Kluyveromyces lactis: one gene and its partners. The protein of the gene in region 4 interacts with the protein of the main gene of each other region in a pairwise test. Links are inferred from orthologs where the notes say so. Each region holds a gene or a part of one and is shown on either strand. Other genes may lie near its edges.

Region 1 (5,447 bases), about 860 kb from region 4:
TTCCACTTGGATTTGGCCAAGGAAAAGAACATTGTATTGATGAACGGCCAAGTTGAATCTGATTCTAATGTTTCCCTACCAGAATCTCAACTATTGCTTTTGAACGTTCAAAGATTCTATGGTGCTATGGGACAAGACTCCGGGTTTGCCCAAAAGAGGGTCCAACTTTTGAAGGATTTTACCAACGGATCTCCAAACTTCAATGTTGATCTATTAGTTGCTCTTTCTCAAGTTATGGAGTAGTGGAAGATTCCTAATACATTTATATATATTTATATACATATATATATACATGTCGCTTGTATAAAGAAAACATTCCATCATACTCGATCTATGCTAACAGCATGCGGTTTTGAGTAGCAGCAGGCTGTGGTTCGAGGTTGGGCAGCATGCGTTGGAATGGCTTTCTTCTTAGTCACGTGTACTTCATCAAAATGAATTTCACCACTATGACTAAGTGTGGTCCAGAAGTGCTACGAGCATATGGATGCATCGATGACCCAACCTATGAGTAGAATCGATTGAATTCGTTCTGCTCAAACAGTACAAAGCCCCGACAGTAGTTGCACATTGTACACTGTTTGCTGGAAGTTGGAATATCTCCTTGTTTTACTTCTACTACATTTATAATGGCGAAAGTATTGTTCTTGGGCCCTGTGGGAACATATTCACATCAAGCAGCACTCCAACAATTTCCAAACGAGGAGCTAATACCGGTGACATCTATCCCTGCATGTTTCGAAAAGCTCATTTCAGACATAGATATGGACTACGGGGTAGTTCCTCTCGAAAACTCCACCAACGGTCAAGTTGTTTTCACGTACGATCTTTTCAGAGATTTTATGCAAGCAGATTTAAGTCCAAGTGTTGAGGTTGTTGGTGAACAATACGTCGACATTGCCCATTGCTTGATTTCACCAGTACCGCTCTCAGAAGAACAATTAAGAAAGGTTGATGTTATATATTCACATCCACAAGTTTGGGGCCAAGTAAAAGACTATCTCAGTGATCTTGAAACAAAATACGGTAAGACCGCCAAGATCGACTGCAGTTCGACTGCGGGGGCTGTGGAAAGATGCATAGCTGAATATGCCACTGATAGAAAAATAACTCTAGCAATTGGAAGCCGTGCGAGTGCATCACTAAATAAAGCTACGATTGTGGAAGGCGGTATCAATGATGTCAATGGAAATACGACAAGGTTCTTGATCTTGAAAAGGCGTGACGAATCTAGCGAAATTGGCAGCCAAGCTCTCCCACCTAAAGGCGATGAAATGAAAGTAAACTTTGTCACCTTCGTGATAAATCAAGATGATCCAGGTTCCTTAATAGATGTATTAAATGTCTTGAGGGAGTATAAGTTGAATATGTGCTCAATCAGTTCGAGACCATTCCATAATCAAGTGCAATCAGAAAGAAAATGGCAATATTGCTTCTTTATTGAGTTTTATGGCAATTACGGTACTGATTACGAACTTCTGGCGAAAAGGTTTGACGAAAACTGCGCAAAATGGATTCACTGGGGTAAATTCTACCGAAACGCACTGTATTACCAAATCCCATGATATATGCATTATGTTTAGAAACAAAATGCAAATACTGATCTTAAAAACGAAGCAATCGAAGAGGAATGTACGCATCCTAGTTGTATTCATGGAACAACGCTGTCCTGTCTATTGTTTTGGGACCGATCGAACCTGTCGATAATTCCATTAGAAGCTCGTTACGTAACTATATATACACAGAAGCCAGATTATCTAAGCTTCTTCCCAATGGTAGATATTAAATCCACACTATCCGCTTGGTATTAAATCATTGGAAATCTAAATTGAGTAACATTTTTTGCGGTTCGAACAGTCCAATAGCGATATTAAATTTCGATAATGCATCTTTGTAGGCTTAACACTCTATCTTCACTTGCCACACCGAGCCAATTTCCAAGGTTTATTATCCAACGGACAAACATTTCTGCTCTTGATCCATTGGGTAATACAATGTAGGTGGAATGCGTGGTTGCACTCACCCCAGGCGGCTACACATTCATGCTCCGAGTTGAAAGTTGCTTCCTGCTGACAATTTACACATGGTTCCATAATATGATTTCTGCAAATGGCACAATTATCAACGTCAATATCCCATGACCAAAAAGCTACCGCTGTCCATTTCGTTATCTCAAAATTGGGCTTTGACTCAGTAGCACCCTCTGTCCCGCTCTGTGCCTCTATTGGTCCCAAATCCGTGGCCATCTCCTAACGATCAGCTACTATTGGTAAATATAAATCCTTCCTTCTTTAAAACAGATTACAAACAGACGTTCTAAGTCCCAGGTCTAACTGTCGTTCAATCCTTGGAAACGCGGGTGTGAAAACCTTTTTTTAAACTATTAATGATCGAATAGAGTAGTCTTATGAATGACAAAAGATATACCCTGTGGACTATAATGGGATCTATGGACTTTCGTAACTGCCCAAACGTTCAGAAACATTAGAATTCATGTTGAAAGAGAGACAAGAGTGATATTCATATCACGTGAATACAAACATTTGTTACCCGGATGTGAAATTGTACATGAAATGGAAATCCAACTTATAGTAACCAGCACAAACAGAAACAAGTGATAAATCAGTGAACACAGGAAAGCGTGTTGGCGATATCAGACCTGTGTTAGACCTCCGTGGCCATAATCTGTCCAGATTCAAGATAAACTGGAACCTCGACCGTCCTTTAAAGTATTGAAATCCCTCTCAATAAAAGATTTTTTTGAAAGTGATTGTGAAAGTGAGAGACAATACTGCCAGTCAGAAGCTAAAATATAAAGGACCATGAGTGACAAGAACGAAGTATCATCATTGTATCCTCCACCACCACCGTTCATTCAATTTTTCACCGAAGAGAACTCAAAACTATTTAGAGAATGTGGCAAAGATGAAGAAAAACTAGCGAAATGTACAACAAAACAGAGGGAGCAGTTGAAATATTTTGTGAAGCCAGAACTACCCAGGGATGGTTCATACAGAGCATTTGGTAATGTATGGAAAATTAAGGATGAACTACCGGAGTTATCACAGATGGGAATTGAACAATTATATAGGAAACGGGAATCTGTCACGGAATTGGAAAACGGGACCACAACAGAAGTTGAACCTAGTCCTCAAGATTCGCAAAGTGGGACAAATTACGAGAACAAGATCCAAGAGTCGAAAAAACTAATGAAATCACTATTACTAAATTTCCTAGAGCTTATAGGAATATTGGGAGTGGATTCAAGTAGATATGAGAAAAAACTTGACGAGATAAGGGTGATAGCCATCAATATTCACCATCTTCTTAACGAATATAGACCGCACCAAAGTCGTGAATCGCTAATCATGTTATTTGAAGAACAATTGGAACATAAACGCAAGGAAATGGAACACATCAATAAAGTCTGTGATGAAGTGGAATCCAAGCTGGCTCAACTGTGATATATATCCCAGCATACCAGTTGTTAAGGCGATCTCTAAAAACGAAGACTTTGGTATCAAGATGTTTAATTAAACTTTCATAAGTTCGGCTGCTTGAGAGATTTAATTCGAAATTTAGCCGCCGAATAAGGTATACAGAATAAGAAAATCAGCAAACTTTCTCCCAATGCAAGCAAAGGGGGAAGACAAATTTAATAGCAAGATGTCGGACGAAGCTAATGCTCATTATTTCTAAAAGTCCTAATACCAACTCTCTGACGCTGATTATGTAACGAAGACCTAGTAAGTTTAAAATACAAGTCACGTGCTCTACATGACTCGCGAAGTCCTTTTTCTTTTGTCTTCCCAGAATGGGGTAGAATTGCCGATTTCTCTTCGATTTCAGGTATGGCGGATCGGAGAAACTAATTCCACAGGAAGAAATCCTACAATTCCCTTACACCACACTACGCATTATAAAAAAGACCCAAAAAAAGAATTAGCGATCGGAATAACTCGTGCAGAGAGTGTAGGGCCTAAACGGGCAAAGAGGAGAACAAATGACCAGGCATGAAAAAGAGACCAAAGAGAGACAGAAGAGGGGAACGGCGGGCAGAGGGCAAATAGAAAAAACCGCCAGGCAGATTATCCGAAAGACACACAACAGAATAGCGCGCGAAACTGTCGTCAGTACCTCTCTCACACCGGTTTCCTCGAGAGGAAACCGTTACACCGATTAAATCGGAGCTGTAACGGGCAGCTGGGTTAGTTTACCGTAATAAACGTGACAGATCCCAGGACTGATCCATTTTATTGTCAATATGTCAGCCTTCTTTTCGGCAACATGCTCTCTTTTTTAAAGCCTAACAGGAATTGAATTGCCAAAGTAAGCTATAATTCCTGTAATGGAGGAGAGCGCACCGCGTGGTGCCTGACTTGGGCTAGTATAGCAATGCGTGAATAGTTTACACCTATATAATATATATAGTGAGGGACAAACCAAGGGTTGACACACTGAACTGTTACCTGGGGGCATCTTTCCTACTTGTAACCAAAGGGACAAACATAACCTGACAACGTGTCGTCACAATTCGGGTATACTATCGTTTTCTCTACCCTTTCTGTCTCTAGCATTTCGCTCTGCAATCTACGCTATCTTCGCTTCTTTTTTTTTTCTTCTTTCTTTTCGATTTCAAGAATATCTGTTGAATCTTTTCTTTTGAGAGTGTTTCGGATCAACTTATGCCAGTTTTCGATACACATTTAAGCTCTAGTGTTTTTCAGATCGACCACGTAAAGAATTAACCCGTTAAAAGTTGAAAGGTGAAGAAGCACAGAAGCAAACAGCAAGCTCGCAAGCACAATTCGACGAGACATACACACCAATCAAGGATGTCGCGACCCAACGAAAATCTAAGGCCCGAGTTATTAAGAAGTCTAGAGTCGAGGAAACACTTGAACTCGAGGACGGTTTCTACCAATACTTCCACGAATTCTTTATTTTCACTACATGGCTCAAGCTCATCGTCAATTTATCCGACGATTTCACATACAGAAACAGAGATAGATGTGAGTAACCATACAGATGGGTACTTTGCCGGATTACAAGGCTCATCGTCGGCGAACCATGCTGCTAACAATTCTTATTTGTCTCAGGGAAGTTCGTTGACTATACAGTTTGGGAACAAGAGGCAGAATTTAAACCATAAATTTTGCGTGATTCTCATCGGTTTACCAGCCACTGGAAAGTCTACCATATCCAGACATTTGATCAATTTCCTTCACTCGTCTCGTAGTACAGCGCATCTTCGATGCTCTATCTTCAATGCCGGTAACGTGAGACGTAAGTTGAGCACCCGCCGTCAGGTCTCGCCGTTCATGGCGCCTGAGTTGAACAAGTCGGAGGAGGACGTTTTCAATCCAAAGAACTCGCATAAGAAAGAGGAATATGCAAGAATAGCCCTTTCTAAGCTTTTGAATGATTTGAAACAAGATAGATGTGAT
Region 2 (6,121 bases), on a different chromosome or scaffold from region 4:
AAAAAGTACGTATCACAGTATTAACGGTGGCGTTGAACACTTTAAGTGTTCCTCGTCATCGTCGAGGTCTATTAGCGACAGGTGATGGTTAATGTTGTCCGATACTGCGTTATTGGTAATAGTCTGAGTGTTATCGGGATCAGAGAAAGGAATCGATAACGTGGGGGACCGCGAATTCGGTGATACAACACCAATTTTATAATCTTCAAGCTCTGGCGACCTAGCTTTGTCTCTGTGGTTTCCTTCGTCAGTATGATGGGTAAGGGATCCCCAAAACCAAAATTTGCTCTTCCTTTTCTCCTTTGGTCGCTTCTTCTTCTCTCTCGGTAAAGCTTTGGCGACAAATGGTTCCAAGGGATCCATTTTAAATTTCGGCTTGACATCATCACCATCCTGTGAAGGCAGATTGTTTCTATCATTTTTATCCCGCAGTTTATTGAGCAGAATTTGCTTACTTCTTAATTCATGAGCGCTTTTCATTGCTTTACTCCGTAGTATTTCATTTGTTGATTTCTTATTGGAATGCGGTTCCAAAGGCTTCTTTGGTGCGGTCAGCTCCGGTCGATGAGCATTTGAACTCCATGCAAATGTAACATTCTGTGTAGTCATTGAACTGTTGTTTAAACTACTGGAACCGTGGTTCGTTTCCTCACGTCTCCATTCTTCTTTGATTTCATGATATTTATCTATCATGGGGGTTTTTAATGGTTCAGACCACTTATCATAATTTGGGTCTCTTATGCGTAAGAGTTTGTCTTTATGTCGGGCTATCACCTCGTCTGCTAGCTTATATACCATGGCTTTTGTTTTTGAACCCTTTTTAGTATCGTCTAAATCCTCGAAGAAGCCTGCCTTTTCGAATTGTTCTACAGCTGTACGAACTTTTCTAATATATTCGTCATCATCATCATCTTTCTGATTCTCAAGCTTATTCCCCAGTGGTTGTTCGGTAGCAATTGGTTCTTTATGCGCTGCTGGTCGTTCGAGATCATTTGGTCCTTGATCCCGTACTACTTCGCTCAACTGCCTTTCCTCAAAAACACTATCCCAAACGTTTTCCTCGTCTGGAAGCTCCATTGACAGTACATATACCGTTGATATAGCAAAGTGATCACTTATTGTGTTTTCTTGTTCTGAACCTTTTGTAAAGTTTGTGTACTCATGGTTTTCTATCAATCTTTCTACGCTAGAAACTACTCGGATTGATTTGAAAGATTTAAATAGTAAGTCAGTAACAGTACAGATAATCAGAAAGTGAAGTTAAAAGAAGGACCGATAGTAGGCGACTTGCATCCAAGAAGTTCCAAGAGCTCATCACAAGACAAATGGCTGGAATAGTTTTGAAGTACAAGATTCCTCAGTTTCAGGAGTATACTATTCATGTTCAGAAGTATAACAATGTTACCAATTCTTCTGAGCTACGATCCAAATTGGCTGAATTACCTTTTGCATACATCGACTCCAAAACTGTGATATCCGTTGAACAATTGTCGAGTGCCATCTATAAGGCTATTTTGGAAACAGAGTACAATAGAATGCGGACAAGAACTATCCATTCTGAATGCATTTTATCACTATCTCCTAGTTCGAACATTGGCGATGCATTGAACAGATTTGGTATAAAGGAAGGAACAACTGATATAATTGTGATCAAAATCATTGAAGACAGTAATGAAGAACCCTATGATGGCAATGCTTCCGTTGATGGGGACCTAGTTCCAGTCTCGGATGATGAGTTTTCTACATCTGCCGATAAAGAAATTATCAAAACGGTATGTATTCCTTGTGATAAGTTATGAACAAATGAGAAGACTCTTAATAATGAATAGATTACTAACCTAAATGCTATATGATTATGATGAGGATAAAGAGCTACCGAGCTCTTTACCATTGTACTATGTGTTTTTTTTTTCGGTAGAATTACAAATTGAATAAAGTAGGAGATGTATCAAACGAAGAGTTATCAACACTTGCCGTCAACGCGATACAACTAAGAGGATTGTAATTCTTCGCTAATGATACAACCAAGACCCATGAATGCCTCTGTTAACATTCTATCATAAATGAAGTCCGCCCTGAATCCTGAGGCTATATATTCCTTCTTCTTTTGTAAGTCTCTGATGAAAGAATCATTATACTCGTTTTCAACCAATTCGTATCTTTTGTGTAAATCCCTGTCCCCATTGAATGGTGTGAACGGTACAGTATCTTTCTTCTTCATTCTACCATTTGTCATTGTCATGTAAGGATTGTTTCTTAACACTTTATTTAATTCTTCGAGCTTCCTTCTGGCAGAGGATTTCTTTAGCTTGACAGTCTTTTTCACATTTTCAATAACTTCCTCAGCATCTTCATTCACTGTGAGCTGGTTGACAATTTCTCTCTTTGCCCACTCCCTATTAGCCCTCTCTTCTTCTTCTATCTGTTTCTCTAGTAGTCTTTTCTTTAACTTCATTTCCTTTTCAAACTTCTGTCTCTGTTCGAAGTTAGCGACATCTTGTTTGCTCCGCTCTAAATTTGCCATGATTAGCTGTTTGTTTAATTCTTCGTAGGTTCGTAACCTCTCCTCGGTCTTCTCCATATCAATACCATGGTCTAAGTTGTATATAATATCTTCCACTTCTTCTAGGTATTTATCATAATCGTCTTGGTTGTTATCGAAATCTTCCAGCGTCTTGTTAAACACATTGAAAACACGTTTTCTTATATCAACTTCCTTCTCGACACCTACATCATCAAAGATTTGGGTCTTGAACTTATTTCTTCTCAAAATTTTATCGCACCCTTCGTATGGACACTGAGCAGGACCCAAACTGAATATACGATCCACGCATGATTCACAAATTTTATGATAGCATTCTGGATTGATCAAAAACTTCATATCAGGCGATAGATACCTGTCTGTTTTACAGATAGGACACATGTCCTTCTTCTCATCTTCATCCATGATGACGATTCACGTTGATTCGTAGTCCCAGATGATTTAGTTTGATATCTATTTCTTATTCATTGTCCTTACAATTTGTTCATTATTTATCATCAACTTTTCAAATAAAGGTTTCTTGTTTTATACCACCGATATTGAATGATATTGTATGACAGAGACAGCTAAAATCACAAAATGATGAGAAAAGGATTACTTATGCGGCAGGCAAATGATACTGAAGACAGTAAAGGGAGCATTTACTGAGGAGACCTACTGCGTTGGTGAGCAAAATGTGGTTATATTGTGTATATATGATTTTTTATTAGCTAAGTTGGGGCGTTTATTGCCTTTCTGACAGAATTGTATATTTTATATGGCATTAACTTCTTCATTGTCTTAACAGGTTGCTGAAGGAAGGTTGATGTAAATACGATTATCTTTACCATGGTACTAAGTAGAAAATTTTTTGATGGAATTGTTTTACTGCTTTTATTGGTTTCTTCATCTAATCTTTCTCTCAGAAGAGGAACGTAGCTTTCTTCAAAGTGTTCGACACTTGATACAGAAACCAGTTTTATTGATTCGTTCTGTTCAACTTTTGTGGACTTTTTGAGCAAGGGGCTATGTAAAATTGATGGTGGGTTCAAAGGCGGGGTTGACTCCAGAAGAATGTCTTCATCTACGTCTCTGCTCTTGCAAAAATTCATTACCGTACTTTTATCTTTGAAAATGTTAGCGTTCTGATTCTTGTTCACCCTTCTTTGTGCCAAATCTTCCTGTTCCTTCAGATCATCCGCTTGCTTTTTAAACCTATTCAAACCCTCTTGTGTCAAATCAATATAAAATATTATGAGCATTACTGCAAATCCAACTCTCTGGGAAGAACCAAATCCTATGTGCCAGAGGCAGGTGTAAATCGGAGAAGAATTTCCATCAGGAGCCAAACATAAATGTATGGCAGAAGCTCCTATTGAAACAAGAATCGCATTCATTAGGCCATATATGAATAGCTCTTTCCAGTATTTTCTCAAAATTGGATGCAATTCATCATATTCCATTAAGTATTGGTATGCATAATCATAGATTTCCCTGATGGAGAAAGTAATATCATATATGTTTCTTGATATCACGTAAATAGTCATATAGCAACCAAAAAGCCTATCAACTTCAGATAAAGTTAGGTATTTGGTATTAGTCAGTAGGTCGTAAGATTTACCTGAGAAAGTGTATTGTTCGTCTGAGAACGACAAAATATGTACGGTGACAAAATAAGCAACTTTCCATTTCACTGGCCATGAAACTATCCATTTCATGTTCATAAGCGCATTGAAATAAGTTGGCTGTTTTTCAGGAGGATCAATAAAGTGATTGAGGTATACAATTTTTTGCGGGAACATTCCTGGTATTTCTTCTCTTATCTTGTTGTTCTCTTTCTCTTTCTCTTCTGCTTTGGCTTCTTTATGGCCGGTATCAATCCTACTTTGAATGAAATTGTTAATGTTATCAACTTTAGAATACGTTTGCTTTATGTCTTCCTTGATGGTTCGAAGTACTTCTTCTACTTGAAAGTACTCTTTATCGTCCTCACCCTCTTCATGTCCACGCTTCACAGGATACTCGAATTTGAAATCTTTATTGTGAAAAAGGGACTTCTGTTGATTTTGATAGTCCTTGAATTCAATGACATTCCCTTTTTCAACTAAGCTAACTCTTTGTGGACGTTTGATGTAATCAGGAAGAGGATACCCAAGAAGTTTAGCACATTTTTCACTTATCTTTTCAGATGTAAATTCGCCATTCAAATCACCCATCGGTTTAAAAAGTTTATCAGTTTTATTAATGGCTCTTCTTTTCAATTCAATCTCATCTAATGGCCTCCATGACAGTTCTATCTCGGAATCTGTATCGTTTTCCTTGCTATCATCATTATCAAAATCGCTATTATTCATTTCCAAATTCTGATTCTCATTGTTTTTGTTAATTGGATAAGGATACTCATTCAAATCATGTTGAGTAGTGGCCAACAAATTTTCCTTGGTATTTCTTCTTGGCATTGTAGTCTTCCTGGTTTCTTTCAACCTCTTCATCAATGCTGTGAAGTCAAAACTCTCTTTTTCGCTATCTGTCGTTGTGCTCGAATTTTCATCTAGAAACTGCCGCCCAAGAGCATGTGGCAACTTATTCGGATTTCCAAGCCTGGGTTTACTCATTGTATAGTTGATGACTTGGTTGAAATTACTCTGAACTATTGGCTATTCATAAGTTTAGTTTCAGGTTCAAGCCGTTTTGTTTTTGGACAGACATCCTTAGTGATTACGATATTGATAAAACTGACGTCTTTATTGAATATTTTGTGTCAAATTTGAAAACTCGAACAAACACAAACGCGAAAAAGCTCTCGAGAACAAACCTGTTGATGAATCTATTGGATCGATAGTGGCTTATTAACTTCCGAGTTGCTTTCAGTGTATGCGTGGAGGTTCACGGTGGCATCCATCGTGCTGCGAAACTAAAATAGATCATTCTCTCACGTGACAGTCATTTGAACTGACTTTGAAATATTTCAACTAATAATAGATTCATATGACCACCTTAGATACAAAAATAAAGGAACCTCGATTAACGTTGGAAAGTGAACTGATGCTTACCACATTCGATCCAAACAAGCTTGTTTTCATTGGCTAGAAACAATATCAATCTTTAGTGTACTTCACGGGATCCTGTTGCTAGGTAGAGATCAATCCTGGTCAGAGATTAACGATGAGTACAAACCCAGTTCGAAAAGGCAGATTTAAAGCCTATATCAAACATGATTACCAGTCATTTATCAAAGGTGATTCGCTACCATATGAAGATAGCCTCGTCTGGGACCTGGCATTGAGTGCTTTAACAGTTGGTTATCTTTCAATGGTTCATTCTGATAGATATGGCGATATTTCTACTAGTGAGTTTGAGATTTGGAATCAAATTACTGATAGAATAAAGGGTAAGTTTTTCATTGCAACCAGTGTACCAACATTAATTGAGGTGCTGGCGAAGCTTACTGATATGTACTCTTTGAATATTGAGTTCTGGAAAACAGCAAATAACGTGGTCTTGGCTAGCGTCCTGGTAACGTTATACGGTATTTTAAGGAAATCTAGCGTGTCAGTAATGATTAGCTTCCTAGTAACGATAATGTTCTCGCAGATATCA
Region 3 (6,967 bases), on a different chromosome or scaffold from region 4:
GAAGTTGGTAGGGATTTGCTTCGTGTAAGTAATATTGAGGGTGGATTGAATATAGCGCTAAGTTTTCTACTATCCAAATACCTGTCTTCTGGTTCATCATCATCGTCATCGTTGTCATCGTTGGAATTGTTATTGATTTCAACTTCAGGCACATCTGGTTTCGATACAGGGAAGTAGTCTTGCATGCTTAAGCTTGGGTCTGTTTCGCTTTCCCATGCTTCTTTCTTCAATGGGTCTGTTTCAACATCCCAATCTTCCTTCTTTGATGGGTCCGCATCTTTATTGAAATTTAATTTCTCGTTGAGCCGCCCTGCCAATTCATTGCCCACAGGATCGTGTTCATCATGTTGAGAATCCTGTAAACTTTTATCTACAATAATTTTACTTTTATTCAGATCTGTGTTCCGTTTCAAAGCGTCGTTCATGGCTGTTGTTTCGACCTGGCAGGAAATTCTTTGTGGTTTCCTCAAAAAATTCAAAGAGCTAAACTTGCCGCTTTGTAAATTCTGTACAGCATCTCGTTGGTACATCTCGCTAGACCATAGTAGATTTCTTCTTCTATTTAGATAGCCTCAATCTATTCTGACTTATCTCCAATTATTTAACTAGTGTCTTGATACGTTTATCAGGAAGATACGCTAGTAATCGAAAAGTGATTGTTTACACTAGCGCTTATTGCCCAATATGAAATGCTAAATGCTTTAAGGATGATAAAGCAATGAAAATGCGAGCAAACTGGGGTAGCTCGTTATATATCTGGTTTATCTTCGATCAAAAGTTAAAACAACAAAATTTAAAACAAAACCTCACAGAGTAGAAAACACCAAGACTATTTTTATTCTTAACTCGAAGGTCATAAAACACCAAGTACCCAATACAAACCTGTTCGACCACTGGCTCACCCGACTTATGTATGATTGAAGTCTTAAAAACAGAGGAACATTAATACCTTGCATGAAAACGTCTGCTCATGGTGACAACCCTTTTTTTCTTATTATTTCCTTTCCTTTTCTTTTCAAGGATTCCCAGTCACATTTCTCTACTACGATATTTTCTAAGCTGTTTGGTGAGAATCTGGAAACCAAAAGACGGTCATGTTGACAATGAAAAATGGAAGATGTGTTAGTTTGGCTTTCGAAGAAGAAAACGGTGCGCTGTTACGTTTCAACGAGGCTCATCATCTTAATCATTATGGTGCGATCTTATAATTAGATTCCGCGCATATACGACGGTCGAATTAAATGACGAATTCCACAACTTCGCATGCTCGACATTTGACTTTTTAACGTTGATGGTTTCGGGGTTAATGAAGCCAGGTAGGTACATTGATTTTAAACATTGTTCCGAGCACGATAAAACTTTCAGAAACTGATCGTTGAGTAATGTATTCGTTCGAAAAAGAATGGCATTATGTGGCCTCTGTATTTAGGCAGCAGTTGAGACTAGAAATAAGTTACAATATAAACTTTTGTATTTAGTTATGCTAGTTTTGAAGATGTTGAACACAATTGTTCCTTCACTTCTGTACCATTAGCTATAGTGTAATCGGTGCAACAATGCCAATGGTTCTACGACAGGGCTCTCAAATATCATCAAAATGCCACATTTTCACTTCGCCCAGCTCGTCTCCGCTAACAAATGAACTGTCACCAATTCCTACACATACAATAGGAGCCTTGTGTCCTGTAAAAGTTTGTATGCATTTACCATTTTGAAGATCCCAAACTTTGATGCTCTTATCGTGAGAGCCACTGACAATTCTGAAGTTATCAGCAGCGATATCCCAAACACCTTCAACATGTCCAAATTGAGTTCTAATGCATCTACCTGAACTGACTTCCCAGAGTTTGATGGTGTTATCCAATGAACATGAAAGCAAATGTGTAGGGTATTTCAAATTCGGATCGAATATTCCTGTACAGTCATCTGCAAAATCTTCTTCTAACTCTGGGTTGGGTACTTTTTCAATTTTTTCATCCACCACTAAATTTTCTGTGTCTTTGATCGTTAATGGAATAACTTTTTGCACTTGACCAACATGTCCTCTGAAAACTTTAATACACGAATTAGTACGGATATCCCACATTCTTAATGTTTTGTCGTCACTGGAACTGTAACAAGTGAAACTTTTTGGATGTAGTTTAACACAGTTGACCCATTCCGTATGGCCCCGCAACGTATAACAAGTCCTAGATTCAACATGCCACACTTTAACTGTTTTATCAGCAGAAGCACTCACAATGATTTTTTTGTATGAATCCACCGATAGCACAGAATCCTGGTGGCCTCTATAAGTTGATATACAGGACCCTGTAATGTAGTTCCATACTCTGATTGTCTTGTCTAAAGAAGCTGTGATCATTTTCTGATCATCAAAATAAATACCCTTCACACCATCCGTGTGCCCGGTGAGTCTTCTAATCAAATTACCAGATTTTGTGTCCCATATAGCCACCGTTGAATCGTATGACCCAGTGAAAAGCAGTCTGTGGTTGAACTTTAATGACAATACCCCATCCATATGGCCTTTGAAGAGCTGAATTCTACATCTTCCATTTCTCCAATTGGATTCCACTTGGAACCGTTCCCTATATATTACTTTCCAGGGTCTCGTATAGTACCTGCTATTCCTAGCCCTAGCGGCAACAGTTTGGTTGGGAGAGTTGCCAGGATTGATTAGTGACTTTCCGCCTCCAATTTCATTCCCGTTGCCGTTTGCAACATTTTGGAATTGATTGCCGTTTTGATTATGGACATGTGCTTCATTTACAGGTAAGTATCTTGCCCTCTTCATATGGAGTAAGGGTAGACCCCATCCACAGTTTGGACATTTTCTATCAATATGCTGTTCGCACATATGGTACCATACCCTATCGTCATCAGCTAGTGTTTTCCACCTCTTACATGTTAGCGAGGCGATGCAAAGAGACTGACAGTCAAGGTAACCTAAAATTTTCAAAGAAAGTTCCTCTGGTAAGGTTGAAATGAAATCGATCTTAATCAATTGTTTTACCTCATCAGCAATATAAGATAGCTGGGGAAAACAACAAAGCTGTAATATTCCTTCCAGCATTAATCTTCGTATCTTATCATTGCTATGCTGGAAATTGTCTAGCGTTTGTTTGATAATTGCTCGGTCTGATTCCTTGTCCAAAGCTTTCATTTTCTCCATCCACTTCTCCGACCGTACCTGATCTTGGAAAACCATCGAATCCTTACAAGTGTGTTGAATATCTGGATTATGACGGTAGCAGAATTTAAAGAAATTGAACTGAGGCATTTCACTCGGAAGCTGTATTTCCTCATTGTTTTGATTGACCTTGGAAGCTTTGTTTCGTAGAATTTCCCCCTTCCCATCAGTATCCTGTCGTTGATCTGACACTCCATTCGAATCTACATCTTCGAACTTACGCTTTAAATCCGGTCTGCATGTCTGTTGAAGGTTAAACTCCATTTTGAAATACGATCGTAACTCGTATGGTATATTTGAATATATTGATGAGATAAAATGATGGGGTATATTGACTCAAAACAACTTCCCTAGCGTTCTCTTTCCAAAATGTTTATTCTGTTCCTCAAACTTTTGTAAATATACCAGAACCAGTGATCAAAGTGATGCAGTACTGCAAAACCCTTCGTTTATGTCTCTTATCCACAAGGATATAATTCCTTTCCTTGATTCACAGGAAAATTCTATAAGAACACCACCAATGATGAGCACTAGTACCTTTCTTTACCGAAACTTGTTGTTCTTCCCTATCTGAGCTCTCTCCGCTGCTGATCTTTCGTTTGTTCTGAAAATTTCCAAACCGCTTAATACAACAAATATGATGCTTTATATAAATCAAACAAACTATTGGTAGATCGGGAAGTGAGACGCCCCTTTAAGGATTAAGAAGTCTTACTTTGGCAGTGTTTTTCCTTTTGAAGAAGTCCTTTGTCAGTCAAGAGTTTTGTTTAAGTTTCGATATTTTTACTTTTTTTCTCTGCGCTAAATTTCAGTACTAGCTAAAATCCGTTCTTACTATCTTTATGGGAAAAAAAGATATGTTTGTACTGCTAGGGTAGGTAAGCCACACTTTACAGGTTATCTGGCTTATTACAAGGATATTCCATGTTTTGATCTGACTAAAAGCCAAGAATATAACATGGCACATTTTCCCTTGAAAATCAGTCATTATATATGTATAGTGTAACCTGCTACTGTGCATTCGGTCATTATGCGCTTTTCTGTGTTCATCTCTGGTTCTTTCCAGCGGTGTCTCTGGTGAGGTAAGCTATCTGGATTTTTCTCGTTCATTCACGTGATCAAAATTGCCACAACGACAGAGACAGAATCGAAGACAATCAGTAAGAACGGACACTGGTTCGATCATGCAGGGCTGAAAGGCAGGAGTCAAATACCTACTATGCTGACTTCAAATATTGTCTACAACATGCAATATATTGCTATTGTCACAATTTTTGCTGTATCAATTTATCTATATTAACTTACATTATACACAAGGATACAATAAGGTGCCCATGCATAAGATTTTATATATATAATTATGGTGAGGAAAAGTGCTAATCATTTTAGACACGACAGTTAGAAATTTCGAATACCATGATATCTTCTGCACCGTTTTTTTTCAAGTCATCCATAATATCACCTTTGTTTTTCCTTTCGATCATGGATGAAACCGCTACCCATCCACTGTCGTTGATTTGAGAGATGGTTGGTGCTCTCCTTCCTGGAGTAATTTTTAAAAGTTCAGGTAATTTGTTCTCAGGAGCGTTATAACTACAACTGACGTACTTTTGAGCAGTCATGACACCTTCTATTCTTGATTTTATAGTTCTGAGAAGTTCAACATCTCCCTTTGGATTTTTGGATTCGATTAGATGTGCACTTGTATCCAATACAGTTGCAATAGCGGTCAACCCAGCAGCGCGCATGGTTTCTCCAGATTCGACTAAATCTACGATAGCGTCAGCAACACCTAAAGCACAAGATGCTTCCACGGATCCACCAACGTATTTGACCCTAGTGACCATTTCGGATTCAGGCACACCTTCCAATTGTGCGAAGTATTTTTTAGTCAAATTCACAAAACTGGAAACGATTGTCTTACCAATTAATTGTTCTGGTGAAGTATACTCTCCGGCAACAGGGACCTGGACCTGAAGCTTACAAGTCCCAAACTGTAAATCAATAGGTAAATTAACATCAACTTCACTTTCTCTGACTTGATCCACTCCCGTAATACCCAGGTCACATCTACCTTCTCCAACAAACATTGGAATGTCGGCAGCTGGTAAGAAAATCAATGCAACAGGCATATTTGTGGAAATTGCAATATCCAATCTTGCTGACCGGTGGAACTTGATATCAGAGCCCTTTAAGATAGAAACACTCTTCTCATATAATCTACCTTTCTTTGGAATGGCAAAGAGTAGCTTGTCGTTCAAATGATTCACTAAATCCATGATGGTTAGCAGCACTTCTTATGTGATTTACCGTTTTTTATTCAGTAGAGATGGACAGTATGGTACCAATGTACAACGCAGCTACTTACACATGTTAATGTATCCATTGAATGGTAGGATGTTGCATGAGTTTAAATATCGTCAGTGAGTCAAAACTTTTTTTGGAATTTTTCCAGCGTGAAAGCTTGAAAAAAAAAAATTCAAATTCCAAACTAAATAAAATTGTTCGAATGATTTGAAAGGACAGGTCATAATCAGAGATAGGAATTAGGAAGAACGGCAATTCCGCCACATGGGCTGCGAAGTATGCATCGTCTAAGCTTTGTGTTACCTCTGTAGGAATTTATATAAACTATATATAGCGATGCTTTGAAGCGCCAGATGAACGATCCTGTACATCACGTGAACAAAGTGAGGCAAGATCATAAAACCAGTAGCTACTGTCACGAGCTGTACATAACGCAACCAGTTTTTCGTCAAATATCGTCCATCTCTGTCTCTGTTTATATCATCAGAACCATTGATCTCTTCTATTTGACTCATCTAAAAATTCGCACTTAAATCAGCATACGCGTGACTACCAGCATCATGTTTGTGCTTTGCTTTCAGTATGTGACATTGATTTGAGCGAAAAATATATATGCGAACAAAAAGACATATAAAGAAAGGAAAGGATTTATGAAGGGATATAGTTGGTATTTACTTGGCTGAAGGCACACATCATGTATCTTTCCAAATTTCGACACATACACCTCTTCTTGTGTAAGGAATATGGTTGGAGTGTGAGTCAACAATATCAGGGCAAGAGGGTGAAGGTGATTTAATCCAGAGTCTGTTTAATTTTCTAATTCCCCTTGGGTATCCGGCAAAGAGATGAAATTTGCTGAGCACCTCCGAGAGTCTGTAGTTCCTGAATGGAGCGATAAGTATGTTAACTATAAACTCGGTAAGAAAAAGATTAAGCAGTTCCAAAAATTGAAAAAGGTTCAAGATGTTGGATCCATGGATCGTACTATTGTTCGTGAATTCATTGATGATTGGCTTGTGCGAGATCAGTTGAAGAACTGCGATGAGTTTTATGAATGGCAACTCTCTAAATACAGAGCTAAATATCATAAATTGCAGAGGCAGATCCATTTGTATGTGCTGGAAGCAGATAAGCGTAGTAGATTAGATTCGCTGGACGAGTACCGTATCGCCAGTTTGTCGAGAGCCCCAGATTCGTATGGATCGATATTCCCAAATTTTAGTCCGATAGCCTTGAAGGATACCGTCAAAAAAAAAATCTGGTACGATCTCAAGCGGTGGTTAGTGACCCACAACTTATGTCCATCTATGCCCGTTTCTTGGAAGAATAGAGACCCTCTTTTAGCTAAAAAGGACCGTAAACGAGCTTCAAGGGGCCAGGAAACTTTTCAAACCGAAACCTCTCCTCTCTCTTTATCTCAGATTAGGCAGCAGCTCTCTGACGCGATTCTCGATTTCTACTTATACCTCC
Region 4 (5,786 bases):
ACTATCAAGAGTCAGATTCTCATCATTCATCAGATCGGCAGATCCCATAGTACCTCGTTTAGGCTTGAAGTTTTTATTGATTATTGTTTGATTCCATATATCCATAATTTGATCAAATGTACTGTCCCTTGATATGAAAGATGCAAACAGGAACTTGTCATGTAAGGTTTGTATCGATATGGCATTAGGAAATAATACGGCAGTGTTCTTTTGTTCGATCTGAACTATCTCTTTGAATGGAACTACAACAGTCTTCATCCATCCCAAAATATTCGAGTAAAAGCAAATGTGTCTATCAGATATGTATAACCTACCTTGAATGAGAATATCTTTTGATAAAGCACAACTGTAATCCGCTATTAATCTTTCAATTGGAGATACTACGGTGTCTTTAAAGATTGTATGGAAATCTGTATTACGCTTAGCACTTGCATATTCAATGCCTTGAAGTTCTGGTTCTTCAGTTTTTCTCTTTATTGGAATGTCCGAAGTTGACAGGCGTGTTGGTCCTCCAGGTGGTTGAACAATATCACTGGTCTTGGATATGCTACTCGCTCTTGTCATGTTTCTGCCCGAAAATGAATTTCTTAGGGGTGCTGTAAATAATTTCGTAGCTGCAGCAGGCGACAATGATCTCATAGTTAAATCTCTCAACACTTCGGGGCGTCTTGACCTACCGTTCCTCGGCCTAGTTTTTTCGAATGAAGGACTGGCAGAATTTGTATTGCTGTCCGTATTTGCATCATCATTAGGCATTGAGAGTGGGGACGGAGACGATACCGGTCGATCTGGTTGGTCTGTGGTAATCAGCACACTTGGTGTATGAAAGCCGGTGGACTTGAGATCATCTTTGTCCTTTTCAATGGCATCTAAAGTTAGATTTCCCCTCCCAAAGGTCGAAATTGGGGGGGCATTATCTTGCTTTACTGATGTAAATTTGACTTTATCCATGAAAGTTCCCACAGAACCAATATCATCACTGTTATTACCATCTTGATCGCTATCATCGTATAACGGCACGGTAGAAGACGGATTAGTCATTTGTTGAGAAATGGAAGATGTAGAGGAGTCGCTGGTATTAAGGGTGTCTAGTGTCGTCGCCTTCTTCAGTAAATAATCATTATTCGAGCTGGGAGCAAGAAGGAAGTCTAAATGATTCAGAAATGAGCCTGTATGGTTGTATGGATCATTACTTGTATCTGTACCACCAATACCAGAAGTCAGCAACTGAGTTCTATCTCCATTGGACGGTTCATCGTAAAGGCTGCTACTACTCTTCAGTGAACTTTTGGGTATCAAATGGTTAGCAGCGTTATGTGCAGCCGATATTAGCGATGAAAAGAGGCCGGAATCAGATTCGTCTGGCTTACTCTTTACGGGAGTCGCACTATCACTTTTCGAAGACTTGAATTTGGTGAACAGAGTCGTTGATGGTACGTCAGATAGAGAAGCCTTGCTATCGCTTACCCGTAACCTCGAACCCAATGGATCAGTGTTCTCTTCCCTTGTCATTGCAGTTTGATTGAAACCCTCAGTGGAAGACGTATCATTTCCTGCATTTAATGAATTCTTTCTCGGAAGCCTCGACAATGATGTAGAAATCCTCAGCGACCTCGATCTTGACTTTTCGCCAGACTGTCTGCTACTACGAATCTTGATGCTTTGGATACCTGAACCCGTGCTTGAAACATTGTTCTTATCAGAGGCATGATTCGCAGATCCTGCTTTATGGTCACTCCCATCCATCAAATACACCTTATCATAGCTCGAATTCGACGATAATGCAGATGCATCATCATTGACATTGGGTTTCAGACTCGTAGACCGTAGCACACGTGTATTGCCCTGAGACTTTGGTTGACTCTTGTCCTTATCCTTTTTCTTTTCCTTGTTCTTCTTCTTGCGTTTGTTTAAATTTAGCAACGAACTAGTATTCCCGCTTAGCGATCTTAGTCTGGATTTGGTCTCCTCACCAATGGTCAACGTCATCACAATCCTACACCAAGTATACCAGTAACAAGGGTCCTATGGTGCATCTATCGATGCAGTTCTGCCTTGAATAGATAAAACCAGAAGCAAAAAGTTTCAATTTAAGGTAGCGCGTTCTTTAAATATTATATATAGGTACAAAAATGAAAAATTATCGGTGCAGAGACAGACCTTGAAGCTATAAATGCGATATGAAAGCGATCCCTGCGTTTGCCCATGACTCAAATTCACTACTTCAATTAAGATCCGCTTAACAAGCAAGTACTTAAATTATTGATTACATACGGGAAATGAGGGAAATTGCTATTTTAAACTGAAGAGGATGTAGATACAGAAAGAGAAAACAACAAGAAAACTTGTAAGTTTAACGGTCTTCTGCCCATTCGTTTTCACGTCTTATGGCAGCTTCTTCCTCTGGAGTGAAATCGTTAACGATATTGAAGGTCCTTCTGATTTCTTCAGGTGTTCTGCCCCTAATCATCTCCGCAACAACTTTACATCCAGCATCCAACAATGGCTTGATATTTAGATAGTTAGCTGCTAGAATAATCTCATATAACATTTCTTGGTCCACTTTCAAGAACTCACGGTCCCATGGATCCACAGGCGCAGCTTTCCTCGAATCGTCGTCATCTTCATCGGGGAAATTGGAATCCTTGTGATGAACGGCCCATTCGATCACTTTCTGTAATACTGACGACCTCACATTGGGCACGGGCATCACTATTTCATCGTCACCATCCTCTTCATCATCTTCGTCATCGTCAGCATCGTTATCATCATGCAAATCGCCACTGTTAAGATCTTGCAAGTAGTTCTTTAGTAAAAGTGAGCGTTCAGCGATCTTCCTGTCAACGACAAATCTCTCTCCCTCAACACTCACTAAAACAACGTTCTGGTTTTCCTTGGACATGATTTTCTGGTACTAAATAGAACCCACTTGGTAACTCTATGGTGCTAACTAACTACAAACACCAAGCTCCTATCCACTTGCAAACATTAACTGAGATGTATAACATGTTGATTGACAACCTGTTGGGAATTCGATTCTTTTCGTTATTTGACCTTAAGGAAAAGAAAATTATGATCACGTGGCCATTAAAGAAACAGGAAGAGAAACCCCGTAGTGCCAGTGAAAGAGTAACGTTAACTATAGAACTATCTACATACACGGTATGGAGCGATTTCAGTACTTGAATGGAGGGCCAAGTAAGGTTTTCATAGACCGAAGTTACTATATACGCATGCACTGAGATCGTCAAGTGCCGAGATGGAGTGTAGTTTCTGTAGGAACTTGTTGTTCATTGATACGAGTCCCGCTTTCAACATTTCGTTTGTGCAGTCTTTCGTGGCGATAGAGAATAATGCGATTTGATATGAATTTTTGGATATATCGACTACTTTGGTGTCGTCATCATTCGATTTAGGTTTCGATTTGCTGTTGACATTATCCTCGATTTGTTCCATGATTGTGTGGAATGTTTCATCGATTAAAGACTCCAGGACAATCCATGTTCCAGGTGATTGTAGGCATTTGTTGGTCTCTTGTACAAGTTGTTTTAGTAATAGATTATCCTCGTATAGTACTTTCAAAGCATCTTGTTCTAAAGTTTGTTGAAGAACAAATCTCTCTAAGTTAGGTTCAGGAAGTAGACATGAAATGAACATTTCATTCGATTGTGGCTGTTGAAAGAATTGCTTGTTTGTGGTGACGAATATCTTGCTTATCTTGCCACTGAACTCATCCATTGTCATGATATCTCTTGGGTTCGAATTTTGGAACTCTTCTTTCACCAATTGTTCAATGATACTCTTGTATTGTAGGTATCCACGGTTTAATAACCACCACGATAAGGATAAGAAAGCTTGTTCGTTAACGTATCTCGATTTTTCAGGGTTCGCAGTGGATGCAATGCTCCTTGTGTCCGTGTCAATAGTACCATCGCTGTTTCTTGGGTCAGCTTTTTCACTGGGTAAATTGTTGCTCTTTTCAGTGATCCAACTAGAGAACCAAGATAAGACTGAGTATTGATTAGCCTTCTTTTCCCTTTCCTTTTCCATGGCAGAATTGATGGCAGTATCCAAATACTCTCTTCTTGCCAATATATTCAATTGCAATCGGGTTAAAAGCATCAATAATGATGTGGTATAGGACAAGATAATGATCTTGGTGATAGCTTTGAGTTTCAAATCGTCCCAAAGCTCGGCCTTGGATTTCGTAGACGTTTCAGAAACGCTAGTGGTATCTGCAGATTGCGGAGATTTCGCTGACACACTGGGTGCAGGCGTCATCGCACTCATTCCTGAACTTAAGCCCTCATTTTCCAACTCATTCCCAGCTATTTCACCTTTGGAAAGCTTCTTCTGTAACTTTTTCCCCTTTAGAGCCTCTACAATAGAATCAAGATCGAAATCCTTAGCCAACACTAACGTCATTACCGGCATCAATTCATAAAGAGTGTACAACGAGTCCTGCTGAGTTTGTACAAACCTCCGTTTGATCTGTTCCTTGACAAATCGTTGCTCCGTCATTTTCAAATGCTGCTTGTACAACCATCTTTTACTGAAATAGACCGTAATAGCGCATGTAGCAAATAGCGTAGCAAACAAAACACTAGAAACAACGAACTTCTTTCTGTGTCTCTGAACCAGAGATCGATTCCCAGTCATGATGAGGGGTAAAAAAATAACTTATAACTTAGAGCAATGTAATTCTTCTATTGATTTTCCACTACAGCCGTTGTCAGATTGCGTGTAGAGCTTTCCTAGTGTCGTTGTTTGTCTTGATACTTTATTGATGTTGATGTTTACTTGCTAGTTAGTTATTTTAATGTTTTTCGAATTTTGTTTCCCCCTCAAAGAGCGACAAATTCGACAGATTTAAGAGAAAACATATACCAAAGAGATAGAATTGCGTTGGGTATTGAACCTCTATGGTTCTGCAACTGGTGCCAACAGATATTTTATAGTGTATCATTACAGCTTTATCTTTTACTATACATATTATATGTGTATATGTGTATAATTGGTCAAAAACGTTCGCATGACTCAAATAAAAGATGGATCATATATGTGATGTGTCGAATCTCAAACGAAAACGAAGATTACATCCACCTATTGGCGTTGCATCTCAGTGAGACGTTTAAGATTGGCCAAGTTCTCCAGGATCTGGCCATCTGAGATCATAATTGGGGTTTGCGTATCGTTGCGGAAGTAATCTTCTGCACTTGTATGTGCTAAAGGTGGACAGAGTCTGAATGAACCAGACCGATCCATTTGATGTTGGAAGGGGGAATTTTCCGAATAGAACGCAGTTCTATCGAGTTTGACTTTGAGATGGTTCTGCTGTTCGTCGTTCCCGTTCTTTTGGTATAGGTTCTGTAGAAGCGGTTGCGGTGGCTGTATTCCAGCCTGAAGCGATGATGACTCGTGGTTCAATAGGAAGGATACGTTCATCTGTTTAGAGTTCCGCTGCAAAAGCTGATCCATTTCTGTGACGACTTTCTGCAAATTTGATGCCAAGGTTGACCATGATTCTGCATCGCTTGGCGAGAGCGAGTGTGCTTGCTCACGATATTTCTCACGAACCTGTCGTAGCTGTGTCTCTATATTCGATAAGTCATCAGCGACCATTATCTATGCTGACGAGAAACAAACTAAAGTACTTCTTGAGCTAGGCCAGTGTTGAAATTAAGTATACTGGCGGAGGGTGGATGTTACTTCAACAGTCCAAATAGGACTACTCGCCCTGTATTGAGTACAGGTTCTCCATATATGTGGTATGAATGTGTGTAATG
Region 5 (7,073 bases), on a different chromosome or scaffold from region 4:
TAAACGCTATCACCAGATGTATTGATGGTTCTTGTGAATTTTGTTGGTTCATCAAGATCATCTTTTTGATACACGCAACTGACATATGCACTTCTTGGTTCTTCCTCCGAATATGTGGCATTCTCTGGACCAGCTTCCGAATCAGCGTCGGATCGGTGCATTCTCTTAGCATTGCCGTTATCTGGATCGCCATTTTCAATTCTGCCCCTGTATATCAAATCTACAAGCGCCGATGACCTTAACTGATTACTTCTCACACCTAACACAAAGGAAATGGCATCCATCAGATTCGATTTACCAGAACCATTGGGCCCAATGATGCTGGTGAAGTAAGACTCACCAAAACCAACTTGCACCGTATCCTTATACGACTTGAAATTATGCAGCTCTAACCCGATAAGTCTACCCATCTTGGAACACGAATATCTCTACAAATCAGCGAAATAAAACAAAAAATGATCACAAGTTTATTAGGATAACTTGTACTGCAACTTCAATTATAAGCGGCTTGTTGCAGCTGATGTAGATGGTAAGCTGACCGAATAAGCTACCCATCCTTCAACTAACACGAAAAATCTTAATGTAAATAGATATAAACGCCTTTCTTATTTTCATTTTCTAAATATTGCATTGACGCGTTCGAACATATCCGGGTAACTTGGTGTTTCATTATGTAACTTAATTGGGAAGTTTCCGTTATAATCCGTCCATCCATAAAGAGGACGGAGGTGCTAGTTGCACCAAGGATGTACAGAAGACAAGATCGGTATGAAGCTGACACCCTGATATACAGTTCACACGTTCTGTGGTTTTTGAAATTCAATTCGTATTATATCGGTTTTTTTTTCTGGGGTTTTGCTTTAATTAACTGCATATGATGATATACTTATATGTATATTTATATGAGGATGTCTGAGATGGATGGAAAAGTCAGTATTTGGTTCTTTACACGCCTGTTTTCATCTGAACAGGCTCCAGTTGTGGGATGCTAGCGTAGGCATTGGACGTGTCTCTGTTGTTCATCAATCTGAAGAAGTACAGGTTGAATTTGTTAATATAGAAGATGGAGACCACGCTTAACAATATGTAAGTCATTTTCAAAATGGCTTTTGGTACATAACCCCAGTTTATGGTACGATACTGGATCACGATGTTGACTCCTAGTAGGAAAATGACACCGCAGCTCAACACAAGTACAAAAGCACTTACAATCAGACCTACTGATAGTTCTTGTGTTCTTAAGGCTTCCACGGTTAAATTTTCTTCAGACTGAGACCCAACTTGTTTGTTCCTCTGGCTAATTCTCGATGAGGATGATGACGCCGATGATGATCCTTCTTGCTGCAATGACATTTCAGTGTGTTGGAGGGGTATTTTGGGAGTGCTTAAGTGGGTAAAGATTCAGTCCAATCCAAGACGCTATGCTTGAGTAGGCACTGGAATGTTGCAAGAATAGGTGGACAAAATCGAAAGAGGTACTTATATTGTGTAAATTTGACATTTTTTTCAATGTGCAACTTACTTTTTTCCTCATCGCAAAACACACCCGATTAATTCCTTGGCATAATTTTCCACACCTAGGGATGACCCTATCTTGATAAGAAGACATAGATAGGTAAATGTTGAGAACTGTATATGTCTGGTATAGTAGTCGACTGTATCCACCAGTACTGGGGTGGCTGAAAAGTTTGTAACACGTAGAAATAGTATTGAAACTCCTATATATGTCTTAGGGATAGGTGATGCCGTAGATAAATTAATCATACAACTTTTTTATGTCTGCTGGCATTGAAGAGAAGAGAAGAGAACAAAGATACAGAGGATTGGTATTACAGAGTTTATTTGATGGTAGAATATTTCCATACGGCGAGATACCAGATGTGGTAATGCAAGTTAAATTGATAGTTAATGTTAAAGAGTGGAAGACCAAAGTGACGTTCGATATATTTGATGGTCGACTCTTGTTCTAGTCCGGGTTCTGATAGTCTTGTCACCATTCCGAGCAGCAAAATCCAAGATTTCTACGTAACTGTGTCCCACTGACTCGATCGCAGCGACTAATTTTCTGTTATTTAATTTGATACCCCACACTTGTTCCGAATCTGTGAGTAGCTTCCTGTGTATCAGCTTACCGGTCCTTAAATTATATACATTGAATTGTCGTTCCGATCCACTAACCAAAATGTTATCGTTCATGGAGAATGAAGTGATAGCAGCCAGGTTTGTATGATGGAACGAAAACTTTCTTGAATAATCATTTGGATCCCAGCCGCGTATCGAACCGTCTGCAGCAGCGCTAACCAAAAATTTATTGGATAGGCAAAGTAGACCAACTAAAGCTGTATGTCCATAAAGGCATTTCATGCTTCCAACCACTTTGATCGATGCACCGTCATTGATTGTAGTAGTTGTCCCATTATTTTCAATGTTTTCGAGATCCCAGATCATCACTGTGGTATCCATACTTGCTGATATGCACCTGTTCCTCTTGTAGTCATAAATGGTCGAGTACACACGGTCGGTGTGACCGGTTAGAATATATAGTAATTTCATACTAATGATATCCCATACCATCAAATTGTGGTCATATGAACCACTTATGACAATTCTACCATGACCAGACACTGTCCTTACCGAAGACATGTGGCCTCTTAATACCCCAACAAAATATGGGTTTTCCTCTGGTGTCCTGTAGAAAATAGGTTCCTGCGATCCCTTGTCTAGCTCTTTCATGGGGGGAAGTTTCCACACATGCAAGGTATTGTCTCTAGACCCCGTTACAATGTATTTGCTGTCACCATATTCAACCACTTCTAAACATCTAACCGTCGATGTGTGTCCTTTGAAAACATGGGTACATTTACCAGTTTCGATGTTCCAGATTCTCACACTTCTATCTGTGGAACCACTAACTAAAATCTTACCGTCCACAAATTTCAGTGCCCACACACCGCCCTCATGTCCGTTTAATTCTAATAGGAACAGATCATTCTCAGCGTCATACACGTTGATCTTCTTATCGTCTGCTCCGGTAATAATATAATTGTTTTCAAATTGTAGACATGTTACAACATTGGTACTATGACCATCAAGACAAGTCCTCCCTGGTTTATAGTTTGGATCGTACCAGTTCTGGAGACACCAGTTGTTCTCCAGGAAATCTAATCTAAATCTGTCGTCAGGGTTGATCAAATGCTTATATTTACTGGGCAAACTGTTACAGTACGACGGGAACTGATCTTCGGTGACAAAACCTTCGTTAAGCATTAGCCATTTCCAAACAACAGGCGCCTCCTCGATTAACCTATTCCAATTTCTGTTAACCAACAAACATGCGAAGATGTCTTCCGAAGATAAATTTAATAGGATCTTCACAGTGATTTCATTAGGTAGTGATTGGAACAAATCTCGTTTCAAGTTATCGGTTATTATACTGACCAAATCTGAAAGCTGAGTTCTATCCATGTTGGAAACAAGCCCAAATATAAGACTTGTTAAAGCATTTGGATGAGATGTCGTACTGCTGAGTCTAGCTACTGTAGTCCCTATGACTTCGTCAATACTTGGTTCCTCCACTTCAGGTGTGTGACATGGGGAAGCAATCGGCGATATTGGTAACGGCCCATCTTGATCCTCGATCAAGTTGGGACTGGAAACAGCCTGCTGATTTGGCTTTAACTTTTTGTGATACTGACCGTCGCTGTCAGAATCGTCGTCAAGCTGTTGAAGGGGATAATGTATACTTCGTTTACTCTGAGACGCTGGCTGAGGATGAAGTTGGTACCGGTATGGAACGGGAACATTCTGTAGAGGATACTGTGGTACCCCTGGGGTCGCATGCCTATTGAGATCCATGTTACTTATACCCTTAACTAATGGAAGTTACTTACGACTACCCCACACCTGCCGTTACTCCTTATCTTTCTGCTAAACAATATTCCGTCTGTCAGTCAATATGTTGATGTGACTTCGTTTTGTACAAAGAAATCGTACAAGAGTTTAATTTTGATTTTGGTTGAGAGTGCCGATAACAGTGCAAATAAACATAGATTTGTTGAATCAATGTTATCAGTCCCTATATCTATGCGAGATACTCTCGCCATCTATTAGTTAGCTATTAAACGCTTTGAGGCTAATATATTAAGCTAAACCATTCTATCTTTTAGACCTACATAGGTATTTACCTTGCATGCAACACAGGTCACGTGTTAGAATGTAATTATTACCAGAGCAGCGATCTCGGTTGTAATGGTGATATACGATACTGACAGGACAAAAATGCCTTGAAGCTGTTCCTAGTTAATCTACCGATTTTTTTGGTTAATTCCCGGCGCAAACACTATGTAGTTGGCTGCTTATTACGGGTTAAGATGTGGGGGTTTGAGTCGTCTTTTCTTGTTTGAATGTGATTTCCAATTTGCATAAAAGACGATCGAATGAAACATCTGACTAGATTTACATATGATATGAATAGAAGTTTCATAAATTTGAACAACAGGAAATAGGCAGCCACGGCCGAGGTTTAGTTAATTGAGAAAGCAGAATATTGGAGCATGTCAGTTTGTATAGTTGGTGCCGGTGTTATTGGTTTGTCAAGTGCGCTGAGACTACTGGAAACAAGACCCGATATCAGGACTATAACAATTGTATCCGAACAATTCCCGCAAGATCAGCCAATCAATCATACGTTCACATCACCATGGGCAGGTGCTCATTTTAGACCATTCCCACACAGAGATTCTGATTATGCTTCGGATAAACGTGAGAGTGAATATACCAGAGTGACTTATAACTATTTCAAACGTAAATCTAAGCAGTGGTTGAGTGAGGCCACTGTTGAATTCATGAACGGGATCGATTGGTTAGAAAATCCGAGCATCGAATACCAACGCTTAGGAGCAGGGTATAATGGATCCAGCTTGGAAAAATTCCAACAGCAAGATTCCAACTTGCCTGCAGGTGTCACTTTCGGTTGTAGCTATGAAACGTGGTGTTTGAATGCTCCATTGTATTTACTGTTCCTTTACGACCAGGTAATGAAAAAGAGTGAGCAACAGAACGTTAACATTAGAGTAAAGAGAATCAAGCTTGAGAAATTAAAAGATATTTGCGAGCTTTACCCTGATGTTAATATTGTGGTCAATGCTTCAGGTTGTGGGTTACAATGGGAAGGAGGTTTAGATCCTAAATGTTTCCTTGTCAGAGGTCAAACTTTATTACTTGATGTTGGTGACAAGCATGACACCATACCATATGCACATGCGACTATCACACATCAAGCAAAGAGTGGTGACTGGACCTTCGTCATTAAGAGACCTGGAAAGAATGGCAAGAAGGCATATTATATTCTTGGTGGTACCAAACAACCTGGTGATTATAGTGTAATGCCTCGTGATACAGATACTGAGAAGCTCATTGGAAGAGGTAAGAAACTTTTCCCTGAATTGCTTGAAAACTTCGAAATCAAGAACGTCAACGTTGGTTTCAGACCGCTAAGAGTAGGAGGTTCGCGTGTAGAACTCGAGTTCAATAAGAGTCCTGATGGAGAACAAATGCCAGTTATTCATGCTTATGGTCTTGGTGGGATGGGATTCGAGACCTCGATGGGTGTTGCCTACCACATTCAAAAATTGTACAACAACGTCTTCTCCACTTCAAAATTATGATGTGCGCTTGCATCGAAATTAAAGACTACCTACTGGACATTTCACATTAAAGTAAATAATTCTGTAAATAAAGACCACGCAGCATTTTAAGTTAACTTTATTTGAAAGTATCAATAACGATTACACTTCATTCGAATGAAGGGATTGTACAACGGAGGTTGTTACTAAGTAAAAAAAGTATGCATCTCAGTAACGAAGTGAGTGGTGCCGTCAGGACGTTTACGTATTTTATGGTAAGTGGAACTCATTATATGTTGAAGGGTGTAGATTACATTTCGTTATATGGTGAGGAACCCAGTGCAATTGAGCAAGCTTACGCCATATTCATGAATGTGTTGGAAATAGATGAACAAGGGAAAGTTATCAACGTCAAACATGCCGAGAAACGAGCAACAGACTACATTAGGTCTTACTGTGAATCGACCTTCGAGGTTGATCCACCTTTCGAAGATTGGGAAGTTCAGTTATATTGAAAAATGTACCTCCATTAGCAACTATTTTAGACCGGCGTTGGTTTTCTGGGAGCAATTGGCTGCTTATACACCAGAATAGTGTATGTTTAGAGGCTGCTACATAGTCAAAAGATAGTATTAGTATTCATACATGATATCAACCTTTATTCACACTGGATATAGGCAACCAATTATAAATCCGGGTAACTTGTAGTTTACGTTGACTATCAAAGAGAATCAACCAAAAGGTAATAACGTCCAGTAAACTTAAACAGTAAAACAGAAGTTTTCTGATATAAAGAAGGTGGAAAAGCCAGACTTAAAACATTAGAGAACGTATAAATTTGAAGAAATTCATTATTGGTTCCATATATAGTACCCCTAATTGGAGATCTAATTGGGTATCTGCGTTCTCTGTTTTTCTAATTAGGAGACAGACAACTTTTTATTGAATAACAGAGCGGAAAGCAATTGTTACTATCTTTTATGAACTGCTAGTACCAAATTACAAACTTATAACACCTAGAAATTTTCCAATTCAATTTAAGATTACCTTTTCTTACATTTGCATTATTGATCAGCTCTAAAAGATTTCAACAATGGCAAAGCGGGTGTATGATCCCATTCACGATACTTATCAGATACAAGTTACTCCAGAGCCGCCTGTGCTTTCACAGCCGCGACCAGATGGTAACGAAGAGGAAGACAGAGACTCGGATTCTACTCAGTCAGAACCTTCTCAATCAGCTGCAATTTCCATGCCAGATTCTTCTAATGACGAAAATAAATATTATGAGAAGGAATCAACGGTGTCCGCAGATTCTCCTAATTCAGCATTGCCATCTGATTCACAGCATTCCGTAATACCTCCTCCGCCACCAATGGAGCTGGTTCAATACCCAGGGAATGAGAGGAAATCCAAACATTCTCATGCTATGAACTTTATGACAACTAC

Evidence for each region.
Region 1: the proteins of SKP1 (region 4) and HRT1 interact in binary tests that used the Schizosaccharomyces pombe proteins (3 or more experiments, as listed by UniProt). The link is inferred for Kluyveromyces lactis from reciprocal best matches to the Schizosaccharomyces pombe genes skp1 and rbx1.
Region 2: the proteins of SKP1 (region 4) and TFB3 interact in binary tests that used the Schizosaccharomyces pombe proteins (3 or more experiments, as listed by UniProt). The link is inferred for Kluyveromyces lactis from reciprocal best matches to the Schizosaccharomyces pombe genes skp1 and pmh1.
Region 3: the proteins of SKP1 (region 4) and MET30 interact in a two-hybrid assay, tested with the Schizosaccharomyces pombe proteins (2 studies listed by BioGRID). The link is inferred for Kluyveromyces lactis from reciprocal best matches to the Schizosaccharomyces pombe genes skp1 and pof1.
Region 5: the proteins of SKP1 (region 4) and CDC4 interact in binary tests that used the Schizosaccharomyces pombe proteins (3 or more experiments, as listed by UniProt). The link is inferred for Kluyveromyces lactis from reciprocal best matches to the Schizosaccharomyces pombe genes skp1 and pop2.

The regions. Positions count from the first base shown.
Region 1 is NC_006041.1:648,273-653,719, reverse strand, and holds HRT1 (SCF ubiquitin ligase complex subunit HRT1), read right to left. Parts: upstream 2,247-5,447; coding exon 1,914-2,246; downstream 1-1,913. Other genes in the region: ATP11 (Atp11p), read left to right, coding at 1-243; prephenate dehydratase PHA2, read left to right, coding at 630-1,565; mediator complex subunit MED7, read left to right, coding at 2,823-3,464; PFK27 (6-phosphofructo-2-kinase), read left to right, coding at 4,836-5,447. UniProt on the Schizosaccharomyces pombe protein: Component of E3 ubiquitin ligase SCF complexes, which mediate the ubiquitination and subsequent proteasomal degradation of target proteins.
Region 2 is NC_006039.1:1,294,168-1,300,288, reverse strand, and holds TFB3 (TFIIH/NER complex subunit TFB3), read right to left. Parts: upstream 2,948-6,121; coding exon 1,991-2,947; downstream 1-1,990. Other genes in the region: LFT1 (Lft1p), read right to left, coding at 13-1,077; CGI121 (Cgi121p), read left to right, coding at 1,326-1,799; KLLA0_C14850g (uncharacterized protein), read right to left, coding at 3,253-5,136; PMT7 (putative dolichyl-phosphate-mannose--protein mannosyltransferase), read left to right, coding at 5,687-6,121. UniProt on the Schizosaccharomyces pombe protein: Acts as a component of the general transcription and DNA repair factor IIH (TFIIH or factor B), which is essential for both basal and activated transcription, and is involved in nucleotide excision repair (NER) of damaged DNA.
Region 3 is NC_006042.1:2,543,020-2,549,986, reverse strand, and holds MET30 (ubiquitin-binding SDF ubiquitin ligase complex subunit MET30), read right to left. Parts: upstream 3,455-6,967; coding exon 1,583-3,454; downstream 1-1,582. Other genes in the region: KLLA0_F27533g (CBM21 domain-containing protein), read right to left, coding at 1-530; HIS1 (ATP phosphoribosyltransferase), read right to left, coding at 4,576-5,469; SYG1 (Syg1p), read left to right, coding at 6,343-6,967. UniProt on the Schizosaccharomyces pombe protein: Probably recognizes and binds to some phosphorylated proteins and promotes their ubiquitination and degradation. Required for the inactivation of zip1 via ubiquitination.
Region 4 is NC_006041.1:1,505,532-1,511,317, forward strand, and holds SKP1 (SCF ubiquitin ligase subunit SKP1), read right to left. Parts: upstream 2,903-5,786; coding exon 2,354-2,902; downstream 1-2,353. Other genes in the region: YSP2 (Ysp2p), read right to left, coding at 1-1,989; PEX3 (Pex3p), read right to left, coding at 3,208-4,659; KLLA0_E16985g (uncharacterized protein), read right to left, coding at 5,104-5,622. UniProt on the Schizosaccharomyces pombe protein: Required for cig2 degradation in the G2 and M phases of the cell cycle. Together with pof6, essential for septum processing and cell separation.
Region 5 is NC_006040.1:646,073-653,145, forward strand, and holds CDC4 (SCF ubiquitin ligase complex subunit CDC4), read right to left. Parts: upstream 3,856-7,073; coding exon 1,912-3,855; downstream 1-1,911. Other genes in the region: cohesin subunit SMC1, read right to left, coding at 1-410; KLLA0_D07524g (uncharacterized protein), read right to left, coding at 946-1,353; KLLA0_D07568g (FAD-dependent oxidoreductase), read left to right, coding at 4,554-5,666; KLLA0_D07579g (uncharacterized protein), read left to right, coding at 5,846-6,139; IES1 (Ies1p), read left to right, coding at 6,718-7,073. UniProt on the Schizosaccharomyces pombe protein: Involved in maintenance of ploidy through proteasome dependent degradation of CDK inhibitor rum1 and S-phase initiator cdc18.